Schizosaccharomyces pombe: one gene and its partners. The gene in region 2 interacts genetically with the main gene of each other region. Each region holds a gene or a part of one and is shown on either strand. Other genes may lie near its edges.

What was found.
Region 1: of krp1 (region 2) and isp6, extra expression of one rescues a mutant of the other (dosage rescue), as found in Schizosaccharomyces pombe (one study listed by BioGRID).
Region 3: of krp1 (region 2) and pgp1, extra expression of one rescues a mutant of the other (dosage rescue), as found in Schizosaccharomyces pombe (one study listed by BioGRID).

What each region holds. Positions count from the first base shown.
Region 1 is NC_003424.3:2,540,925-2,548,808, forward strand, and holds isp6 (vacuolar serine protease Isp6), read left to right. Parts: upstream 1-3,917; 5' UTR 3,918-4,425; coding exon 4,426-5,829; 3' UTR 5,830-6,057; downstream 6,058-7,884. Other genes in the region: mitochondrial serine/threonine protein phosphatase PP2C catalytic subunit Ptc4, read right to left, coding at 363-1,514; Myo3-like myosin II heavy chain myp2, read right to left, coding at 6,427-7,884.
Region 2 is NC_003424.3:5,031,611-5,039,694, forward strand, and holds krp1 (kexin), read right to left. Parts: upstream 4,971-8,084; 5' UTR 4,960-4,970; coding exon 2,830-4,959; 3' UTR 2,577-2,829; downstream 1-2,576. Other genes in the region: RanGAP Rna1, read left to right, coding at 174-1,334; RNA polymerase I upstream activation factor complex subunit Rrn10, read left to right, coding at 1,868-1,993, 2,046-2,213; etp1 (monooxygenase-ferredoxin fusion protein), read right to left, coding at 5,598-5,836, 5,882-7,493. UniProt on the Schizosaccharomyces pombe protein: Membrane-bound, subtilisin-like serine protease that processes the P-factor precursor and other precursor proteins. Essential for cell viability. Cleaves substrate on the C-terminal side of dibasic residues.
Region 3 is NC_003421.2:1,048,936-1,056,377, forward strand, and holds pgp1 (metallopeptidase Pgp1), read left to right. Parts: upstream 1-2,934; 5' UTR 2,935-3,382; coding exon 3,383-3,546; exon of another isoform or gene 3,547-3,584; coding exon 3,585-3,894; exon of another isoform or gene 3,895-3,949; coding exon 3,950-4,714; 3' UTR 4,715-4,828; downstream 4,829-7,442. Other genes in the region: SPOM_SPCC1259.08 (uncharacterized protein), read left to right, coding at 1-852; pyruvate dehydrogenase Pdx1, read right to left, coding at 1,152-1,437, 1,480-1,711, 1,760-2,389, 2,456-2,500, 2,542-2,646, 2,706-2,778; GTPase-activating protein Gyp2, read right to left, coding at 4,931-7,093. UniProt on the Schizosaccharomyces pombe protein: Required for the formation of a threonylcarbamoyl group on adenosine at position 37 (t(6)A37) in mitochondrial tRNAs that read codons beginning with adenine.

The DNA of each region.
Region 1 (7,884 bases), 2.5 Mb from region 2:
TCAAGCACTAATGATTCCAAAATGTTAAACAATCTAAATTGAGGAGAAAATAAAATAACCATATAATATTCAGAAATAGCTTCTGAACGCCCAAAAGTTTTCTGAATATAAAACAAATATACGGATATGTCATTCTTAAAAGCGTACTTAAGAAACCGCAAAAGTAATTAAATACTTGAATCAACATATTATAGGTTTAATCGATTATAAATGCATTAAAATGGGGACAAAATGAGAACAAAAATGAGAACATTGAAACATGCCAAAAACGTATGACATAAACAATATTAAGCATTATCTAAACGGATTAAAGAAAGAGAAATTCTTAAATTGAAGGCTTAGTTTTTATGAAGACTTGATGTTCAACTTCTTCTGGGATGATAAGCAGACTTTTCCAAACGTAAATTCTTTGTAAAGTCATTAATAGTGCGTTTTTTCCACCCTGGAAGACGAACAACAAGACAGGTGATATCGTCCACAGCACCAACGTTTTGAGCGTAACGAATGATATTATTCGCAGCATCTTGAGGGGACTCAGACAGTTTTATTATATCGACAACTTCATCATCCGATACGACATCTGTAATACCGTCCGAAAGAAGAGTTAAAAACGACCAGTCATCTCTTAGTGAATGAATAGAAGTCAATTGAGGTTCGGCAACAACACCTAATTTTTTGAGTTTATATCCGTCTCCAAAACTACGGGTGTTAGCGACCCAAGCGAATCTTTTCTGTCCAAATGAGTCTCTTGAAAAACCCATGTTGTAACGTCGTAGCCGACGTGCTTCCTCGACATCAGCTGGATGATGTTGGAATGTTAAACGATGGGCCCTTCCAGTCCGAGAATCACACAATAAAGCTCTTGTATCGCCGACATGAGCAAGGTGAATAATGTAACTATCGCTTTCCCAATATGAGAGATTATTTTTTGAAGTTATTATAGCCACGGTACCGACTGCGCCGGGTACAGCACTGTCAGGCGATGGCCGGGCATAGTTAGTTAAATAATCCATGTCCGCTTGTAAAAATGAATAATATAGCCTCGCCCTCCAAAGCAGATCTTCGTCCCTAGATTGAAGAACAGTGCGCAAAGAAAATGGAGGCTTTAGACCCGCCATGTATCCACCCACGGAATGGACTTCCTTCAGGATTTTCTCTGTATCATTTAAATCTTGATTTTCAATAATCTTCCCCAAGTTGGTGGAAAGAAACTCACTACACTCAGTACCTCCGTGACCGTCGAAAAGCCCGTAGAAAAAAGGACTATCTCTGTTAGTAGTATCTTTTAGGTTATTTAAGTAGCCGTAAGCCATACGGTCTTGATTTGTCGGCGAATCTCCTCTAGCGGTACATAATCCAAGACTCTGAGGTGCTTTGTTCATACTTATCTTCAGGTAGGGACCATTGGAGGGACTATAATACTGAATAAAGGATCGATAGAAATAGTTTTTTGAGCAATAGGCATTTTGAATATATAGAGGTGCCCGTAAACGTTTAAGAAAACGGATCGACATGTATTAATGGAGAAGGATTCTCAAACGTGAATCGCTTGAGATGGTAACTTCGCGGCGTGCAAAACAAACCGTGCAAGAAACCGGTAATTTCTAGTAAATTTTGCTAAAAAAAGATTAATGATCAAAGGATTAGAGGAAAGAAAGTTTTCTTTCCTACAGATATTGAAGCTTCCAGACGCTTTGCTTGAAAGCCGAGGTAAATTTCCAGTTTAAGGCTAACTCGAAATACCAAATAACAGGGGATTTTAAAAAGAGTTCAGCATACACCAACAAGGAGAAAGTCTTACACGATTCTATACAAGCGGTGTAAAGCATATAGTGTGTTAAAACGAACCCTGTAATACTATGCAAACAAATGCGTTAAAGCACGATAAAAGAAGTTAAGGAAGATATGTAATGAAAGGAAGGCTGTGAGCATTGTAGGGATAGTTCGTTTGATGAGCATGTCTTTATTTCATTTTCGTTAATATTTCAATTTTTTTTGGTTGGTTTGAGGGGGTGGATTCTACCAACCACTTTCATTTTTCCTATCCAAATATGTTTTTTACTTTTCTATCTTATTTTTTCACTATAGCACATTAGCACTCTAGATTATATTGCTTTGTTAGAGCAAAACAGATGGAGTATATAGCTTATCGACGACAATTCAATTCAATTCAATCCAACCATCAGAGAAATCTGACTATGTTACTCTTTAGTTTATTCCTAATAAGCGCTGCTTGAATAAAGTGATAAGTGCAACAGCTCCGATGATGGCAAGATATTTAGCGATTAGAGATTGTTTCGTTTCCAAAGTACCAAGTACTTATAACGAAATATATACAAAAGCTCCCAAATTCAAAATTGCTGGGTGTACGGCGCCACCAAAATACAGAACCGTCATTCATTTGTTCCAATATAACGCCATTGTTCTCTGTATTGTTTGCTAATTGTTTCAACTTGTTGAACTATTAGTGATGGTCTAGTCCAAACGACACCTGGAATGAGAGCGCATTGATGAAAGAGCTTCAACACAGCGCCCAATCTCTCTTACTGTGGGAATCTCAAACATTGTCAATGTTGTCACATGTTGTTTGTTCGTATACAAAGAAATGCAAATGCCATCCACGCATTCTGTTCATCATTAAAACTCTTTGATTAAATCCCTTGTACTGCATTAAATTTCATGGCTGCATAGAAGAAAAGTTACATAGGAAAGAGCCAGCGATTGCTACGAATACTCGCTCGATCTCACTCCACAGGCTGTTTCTTTAACAATTTATATAAGAATATACAAATAAGTAAAGTTTCATAGAAAAGAAGAAATGGATTTTATAGTGAAAATGGGGAATTTTAAAGTCCCTCATTGCTTCATCTAGCAACTCTTTCTTATATACAATAACCGAAATACGATGCATCGGTAATTAACTGTTTACGCACACACAATCTCTCAATCTTCTCTCCTCTAAAATAAATGTCTCCAACCAATTTGTTGATAAAGATAGAATGGCTGTTGTAATGTAGCAAACACTTATCAGGGGATGGATGGATGGATGGATGTTTTTCATCAAGCACTTGTTTACATGAGTGGGCGTTAGCTGAACACCGAGAGTCATGTTCATTCAATTGTGCTAGTGTTTTATAATTTATTTGTTTTCGTTTCAGTTTACTGTTTGTGTAGAATGAATACTAGTCATGAAAGGAAAGAATAAACCTTTCTGAAAATGAAATGACATTGAGTGCATATTGTTGAATATGGATATGCTGTTGCTTCCATACATTTGGAAATTTTGCAAACCTCTTTTTTTATGTATGTCCCGATCAATGTGTGTATCCGTGGATTACCAAGTTATCAGTGAATCGGCTTCCGTTCCTCCATATCTTTGAATTGCTCTTTTTTCTGCCCTAAGCAGCGCAATGCGCATGAAGCGTTATCATTCAATGTACCGAACAGAGTGGCAGTTGAGTGGCCCTTACCAATCCGGCCTTTCAAAGTTTATCTAAGAACCACTTGTTTGAGCTTATCGACCAATCACAGGCAATGGATCACCGTTCCTCCACTAACCACCTCGTATCGCTAGATTAGAGGGGTGACGTCAAGTGAACATATCGTGACTCGTTAAGTCAGCCAAGTAACGAATTGCGAAAGGGAGGGCGCGCTTGAGAAAGTGCTAATACAGCGATGCATGCAGAACAGTGGCATTTGACGAATAATCAAGGGAGAAAGCAGAGAAGTAAATGAACAGAATTTTTTTAAAAAAAATTATATTACAATTGAATTGAATGGATTTGGAATTGAGTTTTGCCTGCTTTTTTACGGAATCTCTGCTTCTATCTGTCCAAACTCCCTTTGTTGATGTTCGAGGGTTAGGGTACGGGTGGTGGATAGACTATATAAACGAAAGAGGTAGCCCCCATTGAGTCGTGTATCAGTACGCTCCTCGTTACAAAGTCAAACGTCTTAGAACAAGTTGCATTGGAATTGAATTTACCAGTGCCACTAGTTTTGATTTTGTTTCATTCACAGTCGTTTTTTTTCGCTTTGTGTTTTTCATTTGCTTGCAATTTTTTATTTTATTAAAGTAATTGTTAGAGAATTATTATAGTTTCTTTCTCCCTTTCTTTATAATAACTCTTAATCCCATTGTTCGCCCATATACTACTTACTATAGTTTGTATATAGCCCACAATTCTTTTTTTTTTTCTTTTATTCATCTCTCTCGATTTCTTCCTATCTGAACTTGGGATAGATAGTTAGTTTTTCAATAGTCTTTGTCATCTGTTTTCCTTGTCTTTCTTTCATAAGTAAACACGGAACAACGATACTTGCCTACTGTTCAGCAATCTCAGCAATTTAACCGCCTTCAATCACTACCCCAACCACAATCACAATCACTTCCCCCTCCAACAGCCTCGTCTTCTCAGCATCAACATGAGAATTCCTTATTCAAATCTTTTTTCTGCCGCCGCAGGTTTGGCCCTCTTCGCTTCTACTGCCTGTGCTGCACCAGTGATGCCAGCGACTGATTCGGACATTGCCCATGCTGGTATCCGTCCTGAGCTCGATAACGCTTTCTACGACTCCCACGGCGAAGCCGCTACCCCTAAGCACAAACCTCATGCTGGTCCTAATGCCGCTCCTCTCTTGTCTGCTTCCAACGCCGATACCACTGGACTGGACTCTCACTATATCATTGTTTTGCAGCCTGATTTGAGCGAACAAGAATTCCAAGCCCATACTAATTGGGTCTCGGAGATGCACCAAATGGACATTGCTTCTCAAGAAGATGAGTACTACGATACTAGTGATAGTAATTACATGTTTGGCTTGAAGCATGTTTATGACTTTGGCGAGGACTCTTTCAAAGGTTATTCTGGTCAATTCAGCTCTAACATTGTTGAGCAAATTCGCTTGCATCCTCATGTCATCGCCGTCGAGCGTGATCAAGTTGTCAGCATTAAGAAACTTGAAACTCAAAGTGGCGCTCCTTGGGGACTTGCTCGCATCTCTCACAAATCCGTCAAATACGATGATATTGGCAAATATGTTTACGATTCCAGCGCTGGTGACAACATCACCGCTTATGTTGTAGATACCGGTGTAAGCATTCATCATGTTGAGTTCGAAGGTCGCGCTTCTTGGGGTGCAACCATTCCCTCTGGTGATGTTGATGAGGATAACAATGGTCATGGTACGCATGTTGCTGGTACCATTGCTAGCCGTGCTTATGGTGTTGCAAAGAAGGCTGAAATCGTTGCTGTCAAGGTTCTCCGTTCCAGTGGATCTGGTACCATGGCTGATGTGATTGCCGGTGTTGAGTGGACTGTTCGTCATCACAAATCGTCCGGCAAGAAAACCTCTGTTGGCAACATGTCTCTTGGTGGCGGCAACAGCTTTGTTTTGGATATGGCTGTTGATTCTGCCGTTACCAACGGTGTTATTTATGCCGTTGCTGCTGGAAATGAGTATGATGACGCTTGCTATTCATCTCCTGCTGCTTCTAAGAAAGCCATCACCGTTGGCGCTTCCACTATAAACGACCAAATGGCCTACTTCTCTAACTATGGTAGCTGTGTTGACATCTTCGCTCCTGGACTTAACATTTTGTCTACATGGATCGGTTCAAATACTAGTACTAACACCATCTCTGGTACTTCTATGGCAACCCCTCATGTTGCAGGTTTGTCCGCTTACTACCTTGGCCTACACCCTGCTGCCAGCGCTAGCGAAGTTAAAGATGCTATCATTAAGATGGGTATTCACGATGTACTCTTGTCTATTCCTGTTGGTAGCAGCACTATTAACCTTCTCGCTTTCAATGGTGCTCAAGAATAGATTTTACTTCATGTTGGATGCATTCGATGTTTTCAATAAGTCGGTGTTTGATTTTCAATACATCGAGTAATTGTTTTATTTTTTTGAAAACGTTTGCTCCTTTTATGATTGTTCTTTACAAACAGTTTATAATGATTGTTATGACAATAAATATTTTATAATGCAAGCCACTGAATCACGTTTAGAATTTTTATACTTGAATGAAATTTTTTTGTGATGTTCTTCCAACTTACAATGTTAAAGTGTAATTGTAAATGTCCTCTTCTTTTATTTGTATTTGTATTTATATTTGTGCCGCTGTTATGCAAGAGCTCTTCTACATTTAATATCGCCGCCTATCTCTTCATAGTTTTCTTTTACAATGTGATTGCTGCATATAACCATTGTACAAATAATAGGGGTAAAATAAAAAGTAAACCGAACTAAAATGCCTTTTACTTGACCGACTTACTTTTTTTTTTGAACTAAAGTATCCTTGTGGTTACTTGTTACGTTGACGCAGAGCATAATAATAGTAATAATAAAATAATTTTAAATTCATGAACTAATAATTTACATCATCTTAAAAAATACATGTCGAGTCTTTGGGAAGCTTGGCTACCTTAGAACGCTAGGCGAACGATTGGACCTCATGGATAATCTACTTTCACTTCTCTTTACTCTTTGACCCTCCAGCAAAGATCTATATTTATCAAAATCGGTTTCCAAACTTTTGACGCGTTCACGCTCTTCTTGAAGAGCATGTTCCGTCCGACGTAGTGCAAATTTCCATTGTGTTTCTGAAGCTTGCACATCTTCTAATTGATTTCTCAGTTGCGCATTTCTTTCCTCCAAACGAGAAACTGAGCTCTGTATTCTCTTTTTATCATCATCAAATTTTGATATTTGAGCTTCCAGTTGACGGATAGTCCTATCGCGATTGCGACATTCATCAATTCCTTTAATTCGTTCGATGTCGGAAGCAGCAAACGATGCTTCCAAATCTGATATTTGCTTTTGTAGCATTCGGACGTCCTTTGATGTTGATATGGGATAAGTTTTAAGATCTAAATCAAACAATTTGAGCTCCAAATCCTTTTTCTCCTTTTGTAAAACTCCGAGTTGACGATGCAGTTGAAGATTTTCTTCTCGATGATTATTACTATCTTTTTGAGTTTTTAGCGCAAACATTTCGATCTGTTTTATGCGTTCAACTAATGATGATAGTAAGTCATCTTTTTGAGCAAGGTTACTCTTGAGTGTTAATACCTCTTTCTCCATTTCAATTTCATCAAAAGGTCTTGCAGAACTATCGAATTTTTTGTTCAATTGCTCTGAAACTTCGTGAAGTTTTCGCTCAAGGTTTCGATTTTCTCTTAAAAGGGTATCTTGATCTTTTCTTAATGTCTGGTTTGCTTCTCGTACTTCTTGGAGTTGTGCAGTCAAAGAAAGAAGTTGGCTTTGGGCATTTTGTTGCGCTGTTGAGGAAGAATTATTGACACGAGAAAGAGATTGTAAGTCTGCTTGAAGTATTGAATTTTCTTTTAACAAATTTGTCTTTTCCAAAACTAATTCGTCAAATTTGGTACGGATATCACCAATTTCCGCATGCATGTGCCGATTATCTTGTCTAATGCGCAAGTTCTTCTCACGTTCTTCTTCCAACTGTACTTTGAAACCATTTAGCTCCTTTTGATAACGTTGAAAGAGTAGTTGATCCTTCTTTTCTCGTTCCTCGAGATCTTGAACACGAATGACATGAAACTCATCAATTTGTTTCATCAGTTTTTCTTTTTGCAGCAGCAAAGTATTATAATCGTTGCTCTTTTCAACGTAAAGAACTTCATACTCCTTTTGTTTCACGACAGCATCTGCCAGTTCGTTTTGCAGATCAGCATTTGTTGTTTGAAATCCGCGAGCGAGTTCTTCAACTTCCTGTAAACGCCCGGTAAGATAATTTTTAGACCTTTCAGCTTTAGAAAGTGAAGATTCTGCATGCTCATTGAGTGACTGGACCATCGCAAGCTGTTCGCGGTACTTGTTAACTGTAGAAGTAAGCTCCTTTATCTTCATTAT
Region 2 (8,084 bases):
GATAAATTTCGTTCTTCTTCTACTTTGAATATTATTTTAGTTTCTTTTTTAAAAGCCATGAATTCAAGTGACTGAAGCATCTATCCTCGATCAAATTTAACATACACAGCTAGTTCACACAATCTTTCCTCACCACCATACCTGCTATATTTTTTCTTTCAACAACCAACTCCATGTCGCGTTTTTCAATAGAAGGGAAGTCTTTGAAATTAGATGCAATTACAACTGAAGACGAGAAGTCTGTATTTGCTGTTCTGTTAGAAGATGATTCTGTAAAGGAAATTGTATTGTCTGGTAACACAATTGGAACCGAAGCTGCTAGATGGTTGTCAGAGAATATTGCCTCAAAAAAAGATTTAGAAATTGCAGAGTTTAGTGATATCTTTACTGGACGTGTCAAAGATGAAATTCCTGAGGCTTTACGTCTGTTGCTACAAGCTTTACTCAAGTGCCCAAAACTACATACTGTAAGATTGAGCGATAATGCCTTTGGCCCTACTGCACAGGAGCCCTTGATTGACTTTCTTTCAAAACACACACCTTTGGAGCATCTTTACCTACACAATAATGGACTCGGTCCTCAAGCTGGCGCAAAAATTGCTCGTGCCTTGCAAGAGCTGGCGGTCAACAAGAAAGCTAAAAATGCACCTCCCTTGCGTTCCATTATTTGTGGAAGAAATCGTTTAGAAAATGGGAGTATGAAAGAATGGGCTAAAACTTTCCAGAGCCACCGTTTGCTACATACAGTGAAAATGGTGCAAAATGGTATCCGTCCCGAAGGTATTGAACACTTATTGCTTGAAGGATTAGCATATTGCCAAGAGCTAAAGGTACTCGATCTTCAAGATAACACATTTACGCACTTGGGCTCTAGCGCTCTCGCTATCGCGTTGAAAAGCTGGCCCAACCTTCGAGAACTAGGCCTCAACGATTGTCTCTTATCTGCTCGCGGTGCTGCCGCAGTTGTAGATGCTTTTTCTAAATTAGAAAATATTGGGCTTCAAACGTTACGCTTACAGTATAACGAGATAGAGCTGGATGCTGTCCGGACCCTAAAAACTGTGATTGATGAGAAAATGCCGGATCTTTTATTCCTTGAATTAAATGGAAACAGATTTTCGGAAGAAGACGATGTTGTTGATGAAATACGTGAAGTCTTTAGCACCCGTGGTCGTGGTGAACTAGATGAGCTTGATGATATGGAGGAACTTACCGACGAGGAGGAGGAGGATGAAGAAGAAGAAGCTGAGTCTCAAAGCCCTGAGCCGGAGACTTCTGAAGAAGAAAAAGAAGACAAAGAACTTGCTGATGAGCTATCAAAAGCTCATATTTAGAGCAACTACTTTCCCTCTCGAACCCTGCTCCGCTGTTTCCGAAATTTTTTAACATATTTCTATTGTTCATGCTAGGCGGTAATGAACGATTGTGGTCAACGGATGGTCTATATCGACCATTCGATTTCCTTCTGCATTTTTATCAACATTCTGTCTTTTTACGCGGCAGGACCGATAAATAGTATTAGATTAAATCTGTATATGACAGAAAAAAAATTCCCCTTTCAAAAATGGCGAAAAGGTTCTTTACGTTTTATTAATAACCCACTTTAATTAAGTATTGGGTCAATATAATATGGTTTGGATTGTATCTGTGTAAAGTTGTTTTGTTGTTATGTCGTAAAGCCTGAACTATTTTTTCAGTATGTCTGTAAACCTCGAGATAAATTTTCTGTAAGTCGCAGTTAACTTTTAAGAATGTGGGGATTCCATTACTTGAGCTTGGTGTTTCCAAATATGATTGTACTACTGCAAGGACGAATTAGAAGCTTCACCTAGCATAGTACATACTCTACGTCCAACGCCATCTATTAATGTCAAATCCACCAACTCGGCCAACTTTGTATAATTTGGTGAATGCTGATGGTGAATTGTCTTACAGAGCTCGTGATTTAGTACAGGATTTTTCTGTTCCAATTCCACATGAACTGCCGGATCCTGTAAGTTCACAGCTTCTGCCAATACTTGTTTAACTAATCTTTTTATGTTTAGGATTTAGTTCATAGCATCCAGGATTTTGCAACAGAATACATGCTTGCGACAGGGAAAAAGTCATTCGAGTGTTTGGATGAAAGTGCTTTATTGGGGTTGGGATATTTGGTGACTGAATGGATGGATGCTATGGTTACTGATTGTTTGGAAGAATTTGAAGAAAGATGAATTATCCTTGTACATTTTACTTTTCATTCGTTTGTTTCGAGATGACTCCGTTACATTTGTATGACTAACTTTGATGATTTTTCTATATGGCGTAAAGTTGTTAAACAGCTATGAATGCGTATTTGTGTATTGAAATTTTTATCTTTTGATAATTGTTTAAAATCAACATTACAGATGTAATTACATTGCTTGACATGTATGCAGGCTGCTGAAAAGCGAGAAGCAACGATGCTGTTAAGATTTTAACAAGCTTTGCGATACATTAGCAAACATATTAGGACTTCAACTATTTTTTTTTTGCAAAGCCTTTACTATTAAATCCGAATACTGTTACCAGTGAATCGTAAAGACAATCACTTCAACTACCCAAAGCATAATCCAATATACATTTTATTACTTGGTATTTATACACGCTATCTAATGATTACACTTCAAAGGGGTCGAATTAAATACGTAGTCCATGCGTATTTATTAAAATGCAAAATTAAGAAATGCCAATTAGGTTGTTTCATATCGATGAATGAAACGAATGACAAGTGACATCTAAGAAGAGATCATACTTTAAAAAGTAGTCCATATTATTTTAAACAGAAGTGAAAAAACGAGTGTTAACTTTTCAAGCAATTTCTTGCTGAGACAATGGTGGGGGTGCTTTAGCTTTCCAAAATGCGGAAATCCATGTCCATATGACAGCAACGAAAATAAAGGCAAACAACAAAAAGAAAGTAATAAATGCAACAATTTCTCTATAAGAGGGTTCCAATACAGGTTGGGTAGGGGGTAGGACTGTAGGAATCGGTATATGAGACGTTGATGTAGGTGTAGCTGTGGCAGATACGGTGTAAGAAGTAAATGAAGTAGACGTAGGGCTCAACAAGGTACTTGAGTTAGTCAGATCGCTATTTGGTTCAGAGTATATTCCCAAGACCATCTCCTTTGGAAGCTCAAGAGTGTCATAAGGGAGTGGTGCAGTATTAGAAGGGTTTTCAGATTCTCCCCACAAAGCCAACTGCCAATTTTCAAACGTACCTTCATGCTTTCCACCACTTCGATCATTAACCAGTAACTTCCAAACCCCCTCTGGAGGTTCGGCCCAATGCTGCACAGTCATGAACGTCCAGTCTAAAAACCCCTTACTATTCTCATCATACGGTCGTTCACTGGCAAGGATTGAACGAATGCCGGAAGGGCTTTCCAAGAGAATCTCCAATGCTCCTCTTCGGTTAAAAGGTATACACACCCTAACAGTGACATGTTCTAATCTTTTGAAGTTGCTTTTCTCAATCATATCCTTAGTAACGGTAAATTCGCTTACCATTTCAGTTATTGTCTCATTGTTAACACTCCCGAATGATTTATTAACATTAATTTCTGGAGCAATGAGCCAGGTTTGTGGATTCACGACCTGCCAATCCTTAGCCACCTCGACGAACTTCGATGCATCCAATTTACCAAACCCAAAATGATGGGAGAACTGGAATCCTGCTGGAGTCTTTTGCCATTCTGCATTTTGAGAAGGGCTATCAAAAGGAGATGCTGAATACACTGTAATATGCTGAATGTCTCTCCAACTAAGGTCAGGACGAATCGAAAGCGCCAAAGCATATACAGCAGATGCTAACGGAGCAGCCGCTGAGGTACCACCATGACTTCTAGTACATGTGCCTTCAGGATTTGTAGTTAATATAGACAAATGTGAGCCACTACTATATGCTGAAACTAATTGCGCAGCACACACCTCACTGTAAAATGGGATTTTATGTTCAGCATCAACAGCACCAATGGTAGCACTGAATATGCTATTCGTGTAGCCATCAAAATTGCAATTATCATGATAATGGCCTCCATTTCCAGAAGCGAACACAAAAATCGACCCAAGACCATTTCGGCCATTAAGGACACCGTTCATCAACGCACGACGAGTAGCCGTATTAGGAGCATCCATTGCTCTTCCATCATCTGCAGGGCCCCAGGAACATGAATATATATGATTTGTTTGAAAGCCATAATTCAGTGCTTCCGATTCAACAGCATCAGTAATAGGGGCCGAAAGAATACGAAGTCCAGCGACCTTGGCGCGTGGAGCTATGCCTACGCCACAAACGTCGTTCCAAGCTGCAGCCACTTCTCCAGCACAACGGGTGCCGTGCTGATCATCTGATAACTTTGGCAAAGGGTCAGCAATGTTATCATTGAAGTCCCAAGAACCAAGCGAAGTGTAAGCAGCTTGCAAATCTGGATGTTTAAAATCAATTCCATCGTCTACAAATGCAACGGTAACATTCTCACCGAAGTAACCGGCGTCCCAGACTTCACGTAGATTCAGATCGTGTCCAGGATTATTCGAGTTGAATATGTGCCATTGGCCATAAAAGAGAGGATCCGAAATTCCAAAATGATTAGAGAACTCATTCAGTAATTCATCAGATTCACTCGCATCCCGCTTGTAGCGCCATCTGGGCGTCTGGCGCTCCAATTCCAAGATTCCGGCATCAATGCCTCGTTTTCGAATTGAACTTTGGACTGAATCATCGCTCCCCTTATGTAGCTTAATTAAATGGTGATACTTCAAATTTAATAAAGGGCGCACATACTTAGCACCAATGGCTTCTGCTGCTACTACAGGATCAACTTCAGGTTCCACTTGAACTAGAAATAAATCATCGTTTTCTAATGGAGAGCAAGAAGAAACCAAAAACTGTAAAAATATTGCAAGAATTGGCCCACATAGCAAAGCAGGATGCATGGTGCTGGGACGGTGTATGCACTAGGTGGCTTAACAGATTATGGTGTCCACTGTACCATAGTGGTGGCTATGTACAATAAAACAGCCATTCGACTAAAACACATATAAAGTGTAAAGCTGTCAGTATTTAAACTTTTCCAATTAAGAAATACATGGCAAAAGTGAGCAATTGCTAAACCGTGTGTCTACTATAATACCATGTTATATATTACATTTCATCAATACAGAAAAATAGAGCATCTACTTGTTAATCATGAAATAACTTTAAGCATTTAATAGTAAAAAAAATATAAACGACGATGAAAACATTAAAAGTATGAAATTTAGAAACCATCTTCATCCTGGTCTTAGTAATATTACAAGTTTTCATGATTAAGTGTAAGATTTGAAAACAAAGGGTTAATTTATAATTAAAACAACTGTAGTCTGGATAAAGAAGGAATATAGTTAAAATGTAAAACCATGTGCCAGGTTGACTATTTAATTAGTTATGTGCATTTATTAGCTAGGCATGAACTTGATCCAAAAAAAAAAAATGAAAGTTGAGAATACGGATGAGATAGTATACTTTCGGAAGAAAATACTTTTATGGAATACTAGTACGAGACACTTGTCAAATTGTAAGCATGTTGACAAAATCAAGCTTTTGGTCTCTCCAATCGTATGTTTCTAGTCTGAGCAGGAATTCGTACACGGATGCCATCCAAATCTTTTCTTAAGAGTACTTGGCATCCCAATCTGCTTGTTTCCTCAAGACCAAATGCTAAATCAAGCATGTCTTCTTCATCTTCTTCCGGGGGATCCAAAAGTTCGTAATGCTCTGGATCTACGATAACATGGCAAGTCGAACATGCAACAGACCCTTCACAAGCGCCTTCTAAATCGATATTGTTAGCATGAGCGAGATCTAAAATACTATCACCTTCATTTCCCTCAATCATGATTTCACGTCCTTCAGGCGTGACGAAAAAAACTTTGATTCCAGTGCCCGGCAAAGGCTTTTTAATTTCGGAATGGAATGATGGGCGGAATGTATGGAATTGGCGTTGTTGAGTCAAAATGGAAGATGAAATGCTACTTTTGGGAGGAGAAGAGATTAATTTTGTCCATGAGCGGATGTTTTTTAAAGCGTATTCTGGATGCAAGCGCTGAGCAAGTGATAAGGCCGCGGTTAATGTAACAAGACTACCGGCTTGATGAAGGGCTGCCAAAGGTACAGGGACAACATAGATTAGAGTCATAATACCCAAAGTAGCTTGAGCAGTTACAACGCCTGTAACAACGTTAATGCTAGTTTTAATCTTCTTAGGCAAAATGTTTCTTTTAGCACGGGAAAAAATAAAAAGACCACATGCAGCAACAAAAGTAGTAATAGCTAAGATACGGTGTTCGAGTTGAACAAGACTTGGGTTGTCAATCATGTTTCTCCATATAAGATCGGACTTGTCGTCTTTCCTACAAAACCTTTGATCAAATAACTCGCTTTTAGATGGAGCAAGTCTTCCTTCGCCCATTTCCGGGAAAGTACAATAAATCATTCCGGCATCCAATCCAGCAACAAAGGCACCGGACAAAAGGGTGATCAGTACCAAGCCAACAAATGAGTTAACACTAGTACGAAATCCTTTCATTTTCTGAACTGAAGAAACCATTGAAGTCAATTGAGATGTGGAGCCACTCTTCATAGATTTCAAAAAGGCATGTCGTTGAAGGATTCCATGCCCAGTCCACACCAAGCCAATATAGAGAGCAACGGCAGCGGCTAAATGAGTAGCCAAGCGATAATGACTAACACGCGGATGAGAACCATCACTGAAGAGCTCTTCTGAAAGACCACTCTTGACCATCCACCAACCGATGACTCCTTGAAGTCCAACGAGTCCCGTAAGGCCGATTAGTCGCTTGCTTAGCCAAGGAGATGCCCTTTTAGTCACAATCATGTATATGGAAGGAAGAAGGATTGTCAAGCCGATTCCTCTACCGAGGACACGATGAAACCACTCCCAGAAAAATATGTTTTTAAACTCATCCACTGTCATATGGCTGTTCAGCTTCTCAAACTCTGGTGATTTTTTGTAAAGCTCAAATTCTTGGTTCCATTGTTCATCAGTAAGAGGAGGAATTACGCCAGTGATGGGCTTCCATTCAGTAATACTTAACCCGGATTCAGTTAGTCTAGTAATGCCACCTACAACAACAATTGCAAGAACAAGAGCAGAAGATCCAAGCAGCCAAAAGGCGACCTTTTTACTCGGAATTTTTTCGGTTTCCTGTAGGATGCCACCTGGTGTAGGAGCGACTGAGTTACTCAGCCGGCGAGCAAAAAACTTTTCAAATGAATTTTTATTAAACTTACAATCATTCAAAAATAAATTCTTAGTCCGTGACAAATTAATTTCATTTAAAACACTCGATCCAGAGAAGCTCCTGCTCATTCTCCAACTTGACCTTCCAAGGCAAGAAATGTCGCAGCCTTTCCGTAAGGGCTGAAGCAGGAACTGTCTCATCAGACCTGATGAACGTGAAATGTTCATTGGTAATTGTTTACTTTTGTTTGCGTTTCGCTTAAAAAAGTAGGTTCATGGAGAGAGAGGAATGGTACCTAACCTCCCGGTTCTATACCACAATAATCTAACGGCGCACTTTCAGAGTCGCTATAAGTAGACAAGCTATATTAACGTAGGCCGTTTGATATATACAAGATCTGAGTGGATCGTCGATGAATAGTTTAATTTGATGCGACAATTCGCTGAAATCTGCACGTAGCATATTTGAATCGATGTTTATATTTATGATACTTAATACTCAAAATGTACTAGCTTCATTTGCGTATCCAAAAAGTTATTTAATCTAGTACATGTCGCATACGGAAATAGCTGACATCTTAAATAGTTAGTTCTTATAATCTTACGAACCGAAACTTCTATATGACAAACATAAATCATTTAACTGCTATAAATTAATATTATTATATTGTACAATGTTCTAAACGTGCAAATTAGGAACAGAAAAATGCAACGACTGAGGGTTCGTTGCTCTGAATCAAAAGAAACTAAAAAAAAAAAAAGGAACTAGAGTTTTCGCCCAAACACTTAGTCATTAAATATTTACAAACGAAGAAGAAA
Region 3 (7,442 bases), on a different chromosome or scaffold from region 2:
GACAGTAGACTCTGCAGTCCTCTTGCTTCTCCGACAGGCGGACTAAAGAGACCAGCAAAAGTGTCTTTTGCACTTGCTAATACTCCTTCCCGTAAAGGGAATCTTGTCCCACAGTCACCTAGGAGAACTATTGCTACTACTTGCAAAGGTGTTTTAGAGGATGTATTGAAAAAGGACAATGAGTTGAAGTTTAACGATTCTGATGAAGAAGATGAAGTCGATGATGAGGAGATTGAAAGTTTCAACTCATTTTCTCGTAAAATGCAAACAATCAGTAACTCTCGTTATCGTGGTTCCCCGAAACCAAACATTGAAAAGCAAAGTTGCTCCTCTGAATCCGATCGCGTTTCTCAAATCAGCGATGATGAGGAAGATGAAGAGGGATCCGCTGATGAGGAGGATGAGGAAGATTCAGATGTTGAGCTTTCCGAATCTTCCTTATCCGATGATGAGGATTCTCCTCTTCGTTGTCCTTCTACACCAGTCCAAACAGCTGCTGCTCCAAATGAAAGTCAAATTCCCGATGATACGGATTTCGTTCCTGGTACATTTGACGAAGATCAACCTGCATGTTTAGCTTTTGCTTGTTCCTTAACGCACGCGAACTCTAAGAGATCAATAATGTTGCCCCAGGATATAGATCCAACGTTTCCTGATTCGGAACCAGAAGATGATGGTCATGCAAGTTCTACAGTTGGCTCTCTTTCTAAAGAGGAGGCCCGTTTTAAAGCTAAAGCCAAATGGAATTACAAGTCTTCATTTTCCGCACATGTGTCTTCTGAAGTTTTGCGCAATAGCAAGTCACCACCTCTTGACATTGCTCGTAAAGCAGTCGGCGCACATCGTGTTTAAACCAAAGAAAAAATTGGATAATTATCCGTTCTTGTACATTAATAAATGGAATAGTAAAGTTTAGTCGCATTTAGTCATCTAAGGTTGTTGTTATGTGCGCATTTTCTTCATGAGTTTCATTATGCTTTGTAGCATTATCCATTCGTTACGTTATCATTTGTTTGTTATACTTGTTAAAAAATAACATATTATTCCAACCAGTTATCGAGTATTAACAGAAAATATGTATATTAATAAACTATTTTACACATAAAAAGTACACAGTGTTAAATAAAACTAAGATCCCAATTGTGATACGATCACCAGCGCGATAAGACAAATTCTGGATTCTCAAAATTGCTCTTAAGGCAATCTACAAACTTAATTGCACGGCTTTTGCTGATGTTGTCCTTGATGGACAATGTCAGGGTCAAATCCTCAGTAGTAGATGGCTCCTCGTGACGATTTATTCTGGAATCGATACTATCGCTGTTGCTACCCAGCAGCATATCATAAACATCATCCAAAAATTCAACGTTATTAGAAGAGCTTTTTGTCACAGAACTGAAGTTCAGCTTTACATAGTCGCTTAAATTGCTAGGTAAACTGTACGGTTAATATCAGAGCAATCGCAATGAAAAGTCTTACCCTATCATAGAATCACGAATGTATTTGTGTAAATCTTTAGTGTTATTGTTTTTTGGGAATAGCTTAGGTTGAAAATTTGAAACCGAAGACTTTAATTTTACGATTGGAGCGCCTAGAAGTAAATCGTAAGCAGATTCAATTGAGTTAGGTTCAACTTTCGACAATTCAGATATAGAAAGAGCATCACCAATCATTGCTGAGACGACTTCATCAATACCAAATGCATCTTTTTCTGAAAAAGATATTAGCAATAAAATATAATAAAAGGACATTACAATACCTTTTCTTTTAGCTAGCAAAGATTTTAACTTTTCTAGTGAAATAGATCTCTCAAAAGTGATATATTCATCTTTCATCGGAACAGTTTTTAAAGTTTCTATCATCGTTGATTTCCTAACGGGAACGCTGTCTTCAGTGTACGATGGTTTTTTAGGCTCAACGCCAGAAAAATCCAAAACCTCGAGATTACGAACAAATTTTTGAAGAGATGAAGGAACCCCTTTATCAATTTTTCCGACGTGTGCTAATACATCTCCTTTGAGAAGGCGACCATGAGGGCCTGTAGCAGGAATAGACCACGGGTTTTCGATTTTATATTGATGAATCAAATAGCTAACGGAAGGAAGAAACGATTTGTTAACAGCATCGTTCGCTTGAGAAGTCGATTTGTGTTCCACATTACTTTTTGTTTCGCGATCTTGAACAATAGGCTTTACCTCTTCCTTAGAAGAGGAGAAAGATTGCTCTTCTGAGGACGCTTCATCCTTAGGTAATTCCAAGTCTTTCAAATTATCTTCTGCATCAGCAACGATGGCAATATTTTTACCAACAGGGATATTCGATCCTTTTTCGATTAAGACTTTAGCAAGTATTCCATTATCTTGCACTTCAACATCCATTGTCGCTTTATCTAAAATACCGTTAGTTCAAAGTCATGGATGTTTAAGATTATTAGTCTATCATTTTTCATACATACCAGTCTCAACTTCCAAAAGTATATCACCACTTTTAAACGAATCACCTACGTAAAGAATTAGATTTAGGAAATCTCAATATACCAACCTTCTTTAAAATGCCATTTAGTAATGTTTCCTTCCTCCATAGTAGGAGAAAGTGCAGGCATACGAAACATGCTTGCAACTCCATTAAGAGCAGAACAATGGAAATCTACAAAAAATTATTCTGTTAACTTCGTTATTTCAATAAAAAAAAACACTAGTACTCACATCTTTGTTTAACGGAAAGCGAATGTTTGCATGAACTCGCTTTCACACATTGGTGAATGTAATGCTTCAACATCGTTTCCCCTGAAGTTTACAAAAATTTAGCAAACAAAAATATAAAGAGTTGACTTGATATTGAGCAAACTTTCGAAATATGATGTTGGGAAAAGATCAGGTGCTGTGCTAGCAGCGAAGGAGATCTATATCTGATCTGTTAGTGTTCCCAGCGCTCACCAAACATAAGGGCTAGCATAATGACCCCCTAAATTTGTGAATTGCTTTCAATTTCAACATTAATCGGTTTTTAAGTTACTACTAGATAAGTATTTTGGGAGGGTAAACGCTACCGATGATATATAGTTTTCGAGAGACTTGGCTTCCTCCTACTGCTCTTATTTCCTAAACTTTTTGTTAAATTCAACGTCTTAGCTCTCACGTAAAAGTGATGTTTTGATTTTTTATTTACTCTTTTTCGCTTGCAATCATAAAACGAACATCTTACATACGCAACAAACCTATAAAACTTTGAAATTTTTTAAGTTCGGATCTAACACCGAACTCATTATCAAGTTGATGACTTTAATTACAGGGTGTTAGACAATTTGTTATTTTTTTAAATATTATACACTTTCCTTTTCTGGCCAACAGACATATCTCAAATTTGAAGTGAAGTTATATAAATGCTTTGTCTGGTATATAATTCTATTTTGTGCAAGCAACGTCGAATTTCTTTAAAAGTTTTACAACAGTTTCGCTGTTGGAACATCTCTAAAACTTTTCTATCCTATCGAACACTTACAGCCTTAGCTATCGAGACGTCTTGTGATGATACATCGGTTTCTGTGTACGTATATTTCACATATCCTCACTAATTTATTATAGCGTTCGAACCTCAGATTCATCATCACATTGCCAAAACGAGATCATTTGCTTAAATACACACCGGACAATTTCAAAATACGAGGCTTATGGTGGTATCCATCCTACCATAGTTATTCATGAGCATCAAAAGAATTTAGCGAAAGTAATCCAAAGGACTATCTCAGATGCCGCGCGTAGTGGTATTACTGATTTTGACCTTATTGCTGTCACAAGAGGCCCAGGAATGATTGGTCCCCTTGCTGTGGGTTTAAATACAGCCAAAGGCCTCGCGGTTGGCCTTCAAAAACCTTTACTTGCGGTTCATCACATGGTAAGTAACGAATTCCTAAGTTGAGCTTGTAAGATTGTTAATGAAGAGTTTGTAGCAAGCACATGCCCTTGCAGTGCAACTAGAAAAGTCTATTGATTTCCCATATCTTAATATTCTTGTCTCAGGTGGACACACTATGCTAGTGTATTCCAATTCTCTGTTAAATCACGAGATTATTGTCACAACCAGTGATATTGCTGTAGGCGATTATCTGGACAAATGTGCAAAGTATTTGGGTATTCCTTGGGACAATGAAATGCCTGCTGCTGCTCTTGAACAGTTTGCTTCTCCTGAAATAAATAGTACTAGTTATTCATTAAAACCGCCAATCCCACTGAATACTAGAGAAAAGGTGCATAGCGCGAGCTTCTCTTTTTCAGGCTTGGAGTCGTACGCCTGTCGAATAATAAGGAAGACGCCTTTAAATCTAAGTGAAAAAAAGTTTTTTGCCTATCAACTTCAATATGCTGCTTTTCAACATATATGTCAAAAAACGTTGCTAGCGTTGAAACGACTGGATTTATCGAAAGTTAAGTACCTTGTATGCAGTGGTGGTGTCGCTAGAAACGAATTGTTGAAAAAGATGCTGAATGATACTTTAATGGTATTGCAGTTTGAACATCAACCTACAGACATCAAATTGGTGTACCCAAGTCCAGATATATGCAGTGATAATGCTGCCATGATAGGCTATACTGCTATTCAAATGTTCAAAGCAGGTTATACATCTTCATTTGATGTTGAGCCCATAAGAAAATGGCCCATCAATCAGATTTTAACCGTTGAAGGTTGGCTTACAAAAAAAAATAAAAAAGTATAAATATTAGAAATTAATAATAGTTTGTACTATGGAACAATGAATGCATAATGAATGTAAAAATTTTCTATGCCAACAAAAAATAGGGTGAATATGTTGTACGACATAAAGTAAGAGAAAGAAATTTCGGGTTCCTGTCATTAGCAGGAAAATTGTGATTAGTTAACAAAGACAGGTTTCGAAATTGAGTGTCACCATTGATAATCAAGCAAATGCTTATTAGCTAGCATTTAATTTCCCCAACAGACCATCGATTAATTTTTTGAGAAAGAATTCAAGAGTTGCGTGAAGTCCAGTGGTATCCACTATTGCTTGAAAATCTTCCATAGTGATCTGAAAACTACGTCGGTCCTGACAACCACTAAAACAGCTTTTTAAAAACTCGCTTATAACGGTTAGCCGCTCTTCGTCCTTTTCATCTCCTTCATAACAGCAAAGCAGAATTAACGATTCTGAAAGTTCGACAACTTCTTCCGTCCTAAGTGTGCCATCTCTTTTCAAATCGTACAACTGAAAACACAAGATTTCAGAATGCAGTGCTATATCTGCTTTCAACCGTTCCAAACCATGAATGATTCTTTTGAAAGTTAAAGATGTTTCAGTAGAATCACCGTCTTTCATCCAAATATATAATCTGGTAAAAAGTTTCCGCTTACTACGTTGATAATGCAAAGGTTCACGAATCACACTTAAAGGTGGGGCTGCACAATCGACAAGCCTTTCAAATCCATTGAAATCAATCTTTTGTTCTAAGACGTCGCCGTGACAAATATTATTTTCCCCAATGGCATTAATGAACGCATCATATACCAAATCTAAATCAGTGTTCGATAATAAGGTAGTTTGGTATACGCTTCGTAAGTGTGATCGCTTGGTAAAACATCGTAAAGAATAGAGCACACTACTCTTGAATTCTTTTCTTTTGGCAGACACAAAACTATCGGTAATAAAATCAAAGTACTCAAAAGCGACAGCAAATAACTGTGGAAGGGTACACATAGAAGATCTACTACCTAAAGCAGCCATCTTTTCATCGGCAGCTGTTCCTTGGTTGATATGATCAAAACATTGACGAAACACTTTCATAACAGAAGAATCGTCTGTCGCATTTAAAATCCCTTGGGCATTTACTTTGAACAGAGCTAAAGCCACTTGAAAAAGAACACGTGGACCGTTAACGAATAGACAGTCTAATATCCTGAAAGCATAATCTAACCTAAAGTCTTTTATGAACAACGAAAAGAACCAGTTGATTGTAATAAGCTTCAAATCCATATCTAGCTCAATAATTTTCTGATATAAGTGAGGAAGCGTATGTTCTAAAACATACTCAAATACCGTTAAATCCAGTAATAGCCCATGTATTATCTTAGCGTAATACCCAGGAATATAAAACTCACATAGTTGAGAAAAAAGAAAGTATGCTTGCTCTTCTGTGCAATAAACCAGCAAAGCAGCAAGCACAATGTTCATAGCCTGACAATAACCAACCTCTTTATTGGTCTCAGAATAAAACAGAAGGATTCTTCTCAATGTATTAATGCCCGTAGGTGATTGATAAGCAGGATAATCAGGAAGACTTCGTGTCAAGTCCTTTTCGATTTCCTCACTATATTCACAACGGTTGTTAATAACGCTATCAATGTTCTTTGCGTAAAATCCTTTAGATTTCCATCTTGGAAACAAGCTACCAGAGCATGTTTCCCAAATGTCTGCTCGTAAATTGTTTGGGATACCCGACTGAACAAGCTTTTGAAAATTTGGAGTTTGTATGAGATTAAAATTAGCACCGTTTTTTTTTAGATATTGAATCCAGCTTTTGGAGTTATTTTCATTGATTAAACCATTTGTATTGCTGCTTGCTATCGGATAACCAAACTGCGAACCAAGACCTAAGTCAATGCTCTCGATTTCTTGTGAATTGGCTGATTCAGAAAAACAGACTCTTTCGGATGCTAGTGATAACAAAAATAAACCAACGCTTGAAGCATCCTCAAGAGAAGCATGTAACTGGCGAACTAGTCGGTCACAAAAGAATTCTGATTGCTGTCTCGTTCCTTTAAACCTCAAGTGAATTATCTGACTGTGAAAGTTAGAGAGATCAAAAGTAAATGTATCATTGTCTGAATTTTCCCTTTCTAGCTTTCGAACGGCAGCTAAAGGGAAAGTGAAACGTGTTTTGAAATCATCGCTATGAAAACAGAGAAAAGAAGTACATATGTAAGCATTTCCAAAAGATTTAGAGTATTCCCAGCCTATTTCACAGACAGTACTAGCTATAATTTCTTCTTGTTTGTTGATACGAAAAAAACTGGCAGGATCTAGTGTCCCTTCATAAGCATCATAGTCATCTTCCAAAAATATATGCTTCAAAAGGTTCATTGAAAAATCATTCTGAACCTTTATAAAAGTAAAGGTTCCAGATCTATGGCTAAATGACACAGGTTTCTAATGATTGTAATTTTTTGTGTTGGAGATAGGTTTTTGGTAAGTGTACGAAGACAAGTGTAAAATGCTTACAGCAAGCGATAGGGATATCTTAGAACCATTTTATACAAGTTGCATCAAATAAACTATTGTGTTTTATAATAAAGTCTTGAGTCACCGATAAATGTCAATATCACTGAATTTGATTAAGAGGATTTCGGGTGGAAAAGTGACAGAAATTTAAAGTTAGTAATTACTGTAACGGTGATTTTATGACGCCTTTTTTTTAAAAAAAAGAAAAAGG